Canis lupus familiaris: one gene and its partner. The protein of the gene in region 2 interacts with the protein of the main gene of each other region in a pairwise test. Links are inferred from orthologs where the notes say so. Each region holds a gene or a part of one and is shown on either strand. Other genes may lie near its edges.

The links. The genes of interacting proteins can lie anywhere in the genome.
Region 1: the proteins of KRTAP26-1 (region 2) and GDPD5 interact in a two-hybrid assay, tested with the Homo sapiens proteins (2 studies listed by BioGRID and IntAct). The two-hybrid records come from large-scale screens. The link is inferred for Canis lupus familiaris from reciprocal best matches to the Homo sapiens genes KRTAP26-1 and GDPD5.

The regions. Positions count from the first base shown.
Region 1 is NC_049242.1:23,254,121-23,257,770, forward strand, and holds part of GDPD5 (glycerophosphodiester phosphodiesterase domain-containing protein 5), read left to right. Parts: intron 1-1,649; coding exon 1,650-1,748; intron 1,749-2,210; coding exon 2,211-2,304; intron 2,305-2,685; coding exon 2,686-2,831; intron 2,832-3,650. UniProt on the Homo sapiens protein: Glycerophosphodiester phosphodiesterase that promotes neurite formation and drives spinal motor neuron differentiation.
Region 2 is NC_049252.1:25,723,017-25,725,837, forward strand, and holds KRTAP26-1 (keratin-associated protein 26-1), read right to left. Parts: upstream 1,327-2,821; 5' UTR 1,301-1,326; coding exon 731-1,300; 3' UTR 517-730; downstream 1-516. UniProt on the Homo sapiens protein: In the hair cortex, hair keratin intermediate filaments are embedded in an interfilamentous matrix, consisting of hair keratin-associated proteins (KRTAP), which are essential for the formation of a rigid and resistant hair shaft through their extensive disulfide bond cross-linking with abundant cysteine residues of hair keratins.

The sequences.
Region 1 (3,650 bases), on a different chromosome or scaffold from region 2:
TAAAAATTTTAATTGCATTAGGATTATGGGAAATCAGTCTTTTCACTATCAGTTAAATGTAGGAATACTGCGGAAACAACCCTTCAGAGACATTGGCAGCGCCCAGGGCCTGCCTGAAGGGGCAGCAGAGGGGCAGGGAGCCTGGGTATTGAGGGGGGGGGGGATTCTCAGGGACGGTGAGCACACTCCTTGGCCTCCCCGTCTACTGCAGCATGAAAGCCCAGAAAGAGCACGACCCCTGAGACAGGCAGGATGGAGTTTGTTTCTGGATCTGCCCCCTCAAAGCTACAGGGCAAGCAAACCCTTATGCCCACCAGTTTCCCCATCTGTAAACCCAAGGTGATAATGACCTCACCTGGGACATGACAAGAAAAAACATGAGGAAAACAGGACATCCCTCCCCTGGCCCCGGGCACATGGGCCCTCTGTGTACCTGCCTCTCCCTTACCCGCGTCCCCCGGGCCAGTATGTTACAGCCCATAAAGGCCCCTACTCGTCTCAGCCTTATTACTGTTTCTTATTGGAACATTTGTTTCTGGGCTGATGGGCTGGAATGACAAACCTCCAAAGGAAAACTTAATCCCAGGCAGGAATGAATCTTCCCTGCCTGGCAGGGAACAAAGATGGATCAACCACTGTCTCTGCCCTTACCATCCAAGCTCCTTCTGTTAGTGGAGGGCTCTCAGAAGCTGGAGGCTGCTGCCTCCAGAAAAGGCACTGCAGGAAGGGGTGGGGGCAGTGGGGAGAGCTTGCAGCAGCAGCAGGGCAGGCCATGGTGGCGCTACGGGCTGATTATGGGGGTGGGGGGTTGGAGGTAGAGGTGTGACCTGAGCTTTAAGTTGCCAGGCTTGGCAGTGGGGGGAAAGTGGCTGGACTGAGAGGGGGGCTGGGGGCCGAGTAGTCAGAAACCAGGCTTCACTTGGTTTGGGGAAGCATCTTGCATTGCAGGAGATGTTTCAGATCCCATCTGTCCGCAGAGCTCGCTGACCTGTGGAGGTTGTCTCCTCTTCCCTCAGGGTTATGCTCCTCACCTTCTCCGGGAGGCAGCTCAGAGGGCAGCCCCCACCAACACAGAAGCTGGAAGCTCAGAGGCCGGGGCTGGGAGCAAGCCTTGGCGGTGGGGCCGGGCAGGGGGTTGGGGGCAGAACCCTGCCTCACGTCTGCTTGATACCCCCCAGGGGGTATCAGCTCTTGCAGGGGACCCGGCTTCTCAGCCTCCTGCCCCCATGGTCTGGACAAGTCACCCTTCACCCCAAGGGGTGCTGGCAGTGCCAGGAGAGGCCTTGGACGTGACAGGCTGGGGCCGGCAGAGGTCCCACTGGCCGAGTGTCTTCTCACACCCTCAGTGGGGCTGAACCCTGGGCTGTGCCTCACCTCCCCGCCAGCTGCCTCCCATCTTCTCTCCTCTCCAGCCTCCCTTCCATATTCTCTTGAGGTCCCCCTGCCTTCTCCTGCCTCTGTCACTTATGGCTCCCTTATAGTCGTGCCTCCCTGCTCTGTGGGTCTCTCTTGCACTCTCCATTCCTCTCTGTGACCTCTCAGGCTCTCCCACTGCCTGCCCCCCCCCCCCACACACACACACTGGGGATGCTCAGGCTGTCCAGGCACACTGGCTCTGACCCTCTGTTGGGGGATACTTCCCCTTCCAGATGGGGCTGGTGGTCATCCTGGTGTCCACAGTGGTGGCCATGTCAGCCGTAGCCCAGCTGTGGAAGGACGAGTGGGAGGTACTGCTGATCTCCCTGCAGGTGAGTGTGGGGGGGGCGATAAGAGATGGTGGGGGATGGTGGGGGGTAGTTAGGGGGTAATGGGGGGTAGTGAGGGAGGACAGTGAGGGATGGTGAGGGGTGGTGAGGGGGTAGTGGGGGGCAGTGAGTGGGGATGGTGAGGGGTGGTGAAGGGGTAGTGGGGGGCAGTGAGGGGGGGACGGTGGGGTTGGTGAGGGGGGTTATGGACAGCTCCTTCCTTGGGACCTTCCAAACAAGGCAGTCCCTTTTTATCACTTATGTCTCTCCAAAGGCCCAGAGGAGGCAGGGAGTGGCCTAGGCCACACAGCAAGTCAGAGCAGGGAGGGGGCTAGGCTACGGCTCAGGGTTTCTGCACCCAGAGTTTCCTCCACTGAAAAATGGAGATAGAGTTGCCTGACCCACAGATAGAGTCTGGGCATAGCTGGGAGCCAATGGTCCCTCTTGCCCCTTCCCACACACCAGGGCACGGCACCATTCCTGCATGTGGGGGCCCTAGCTGCCATCACTGCGCTCTCCTGGATCGTGGCCGGACAGTTCGCCCGTGCAGAACGGTCCTGTAAGTATGACTGCCTTCTGAGTACCAAAACCAGCTTGCCCTGCCCTCACATGAACATCACCTAGGGAGCCTGGGGATAAGGTGTCACTCTCAGTGCAGGGGTTCTGGTTCAGAGTGGACGACAAGTTCCACCTAGGGCTGCAACCTTGGTCAGCCCCGAGTGTTCCCTCCTCTGCCTGTCTGTGTGTGTTAGAAGTCAAGCTCGCCATCCCAGCAAGAATGGGGGCTGCCTGTGGAGCAGGGTCACCTCGGTATCTGGGTCCTGACAGGTGGATTTTTCTGCCCACCCCCCTCACCTCCAACCTGCCCAGGGTTCATGGGTGGGCCTTGTGGGAGCCAAATAGCTCCCCAGGCAGCCTCACTCACAGTCGGTGTCTGCAGCCTCCCAGATGGCCATTCTCTGTATCTTCTTTGCCGTGGTGTTTGCCTTCTACCTGGCCCCTCTCACCATCTCCTCTCCCTGCATCATGGAGAAAAAGGACCTGGGCCCCAAGCCTGCCCTCATTGGCCACCGCGGAGCCCCTATGGTGAGTGCCCCCTGAGGGTCCTAAAGGAGCAGAGTGGGGCTACCATTCTGGGGAAGACAGGCCAAGAACCATCTCCTTGTAGAGAGGAACTTGTGGGGAAAGGAATGTACGTGTAATGTAGTAATAGCAGTGATCTTAGATGGACTGAATCCTGAAGAGCCCTGAAGGTATCTTACTAAAAAGATTTAACTTTTATCCTGAGGGAAGATGCAGGAGGGCTTCAGGCTGGGCCAGACCCAGCAGAGCTGGGTGAGGTGAGAGAGGTGCCAGGTGTGGGGAGGACAGCAGGTCCCTGGGTTGCCAGAGGCAGCAGAAACACATTCAGGGCTGGTGGTGGGGGGGGGGGGGGGTTGGCACTAAAGGGACAGGTGCAGCTCAGAGCCCATGGCTAAAGGGAAGGTAGTGGTGTTCACGGGGTTCACCTGGAGAGAGGAAGAAGTCAAAGTCAGAGCCCTGTGACCCCACAGTAGGCCTTCTTCTTGAGAGGATGGCTTCAGAGCCTTCTTCCTCGGCCTTTTGTCAGCTGTGGGAGCCTGGACTGATCCCTATCTGCTCTGCCGCCGGTTCCCTTGTCCTAGATAACCAGAGCGTCTGCCCTGCTGGCCGATGCGAAGCAGGCCTTAGCACGTGTGAAGTGCCTGGTTATGGGCCTAGTGCACAGAAAGGAATAGGTATACATTTCTGCTTTCTGGGGCAGGCCCTCTCCCTCCTCTGGACCAGGGGTTCCTTCTCCAGAAGCACCTGGAATGTGTGATTCTGAACAGAGGCAGTACCACTTTCCACCCCCAGGGGGCACTCGAAGACTCCGTGAGCATTTTT
Region 2 (2,821 bases):
AGGACCTACGCATAAGTCAGAATTGCAGAAGTTTAGTTTGGCAACATTGAGAAAGGGATGAAGCCAGAGAGATGGCATGGAGGAACACAATGAGGGAAAACAATGTCATGGTCAGGGGTTTGCAATTTTATAGGAATAAGAGCATAGGAACCCATCAAAGGCTTTCGTAGCAGGGGAACAGAATTCAGTTTGCAATGAGAAAGGACATTTTGGTGGAAGTATGTTTATTGGATGGGAGAGAAAAGGAAAATGTTCCTAATCTTGCCTTCTTAAAGTTACTTCCACCAAGGGCTTTTGGGGTGTCTTAAGTATGTAGGATCAGAGATCTAGAAAGAAGTTTGAGGAATAAACCACTAAGCCATTCCCCTACTGTCAGACAAGAACATATGGTTGCATATCCCATGTCTTATTCATGCGCACAGTTGAGGTTGGTCATTTCTGTGTTCAAATGAAATAATGAAAGACAAACTGAAGAACCAGATTCTTAATTCTGACTTAATCTCATTTATTGCAACATGAACCAAATAAATTCTTCCCACACCTGAGTGACAATGAACAGCATTGTAAATCAAATAATTTTATGCCAAAGAGCGATAAAAAGAAAAGATAAAAATATGAAAGGAGGAGCACAAATTACGTCAGGCAGAGTAAAAAGCAAGAAAGGGCACTACTAGGAAAGAAGCAAAAGTCCACAGTTTGAATTTTTTGTCCCAGATCCTTAGCATGATTATTAACTGGAACAAGGAAGCCACTGCCCTCCCAGAGCAGAGCAAGATGGACGGCAAGTGCTGTACACATGGTTCAGAGGTTGGGATCCACTGAAGACAGGACGCAGAGGTCTGAGGCTGCTGGGTACAATGCTCAGTGTTTGAGGACCACAGGGCAAAGAACCCAAGGGGCGGCATCCATAAGTGAAGAGGCTCAGGGGTCGGCCACTGTTGGACACACAGGTCAGAGGTCTAAAGGATACGGGGAGGCAGGAGCCAGAGACGTAGGAAACAGCAGGAAGAAAAGTGGTTCCTTGGCAGGGTCTGGACACGTAGTAAGTAGTAGAAGGGTAGCAAGATGTTTCACAGTTGTTGGGCTCACAGTGGCCTGGCTGACAGCTGGTTGATTCACTGCAGGTCTCCTGGCAGTTGTCCAGAGGCTGGGGATGGTCTTGACAGTTAGTAGGCAAGCAGACGACATCACCACAGCTCACATGGGTAGAGCAGAGGGCCACGGAGGAGGTGAGAGGAATATGGCAGGGATTTCTGAGAGATCCCAAGCTGTAGTTGGCAGAGCAGTTGTGGCAAGACATAGTGAGGTTTCAAAAGCAGGCTCTCGTTGAATGGAAAGAAGTGAGTGTCCCCCCTCATTTAACTTGATCCCTTATATATCCCTGGAAGGTGGTGATTGGGAACGCAGACTCTCTTCCTCCTTGTTGTAGGAAGCTGCATCAGCACTCTCTATTATAGCCCTGAAAGGGGAGCTCCCACCTCCCATAAACCTGGATGTTCCTTCTATGGATTAAGTATATCTATAAAGAAGTGTGACTGAATTTTAATAGGATCTCTCCTTAAAATATCCAATCAAAACAGGTATGTCTGAAGGTCATTCATGTAATCCAAGTATAACCACCACTATGTAAACGTTCTTAGAATTCCTGTCTTGGAATTCCCTTTAAAAGTTGTAGCAAAACTCTCCGGGAGAAAAAAAAAAAAAAAGGCGTAGCAAAATTCTTTGAAACAGTGGCAAATTCTTTCTCTTTGAGGGGAAATTCTATTCTTTTTGGAAATCGCCAATAGTAAGAAACTTGAATACAAGTATTTTGTAAAAGGATGTGGAAAATCTATAACCTAAAGATGTGGAAGATCTATAACCTAAATGATTTGGGGCAGAAAAAGTTTAAAAGCGGTATAACACAGAAAATGTCAATGTGCCTAAATTTATGCTTTGCTTTATTTTTAGAATCCTGGTGGAAATGGCTTCCTACCAAAATATTTTTATTTTAAAAAGCGATACTCATTTTATGCATTTCAATAAACAGAGTCATGCTGAAAAGCTTGGTTTATGTTTAAAGTATTCTTACTATAGAAAAATAAGATGATTTCAGTTGAAAATATAAATACTACTGTGAACAACAGCAAGTAAACAACACCCCTCAAAGAAAGTTGAACAGCATGACATTTTTTTTTAATAGTTAGTATAGGTTTATATATTTCATGCTTACTCATGTTCCTAACAAAAACTAATGTTCTTGATAGAATAAAAAAAGAAGAAAGAAATGATGATTAGGACCTGGAAATGGGTTTGGTTTTGCTTCTTACATTGGTTCTGATGTCAATTTCCAAAAAAAAATAGCTTCTAAACTGCTTTACATGGGAAATAACATCATATATATATATGAAATCATCATATATATAGCATTAGTGCTTTCAAGGCTATTTGGGAATATATTTTCCTGTAAAAATTGGTTTAAAAATGCTTCATTGTATTTAGCTTCATCCATTCCACTGTATTTTTATATATCAACATATCTAGTGGCTCTAGTGACTACTTTAACAGGAATTTTAATTGCCTTGCTTGATCTACTTTCCAATTCCCTTTAGCTAAAAATTCAATGTAAATCACAATTTCTTCCATTTTAATGTTCAATGGATACACCCACACTTAATAAGTCTCCCTCCATCCAGGAGGAGCCAAATCTCTGAAACAGAAGATTGGTTTCTCTATGAGCCAATATAGGACTATGTTTGCTACCAGGGATAGAAATATGAAAAGAAAATGATATTGTCTCTGAGGTCTTGTACTAATACGTTTAAATTATCTTAGTATTTTA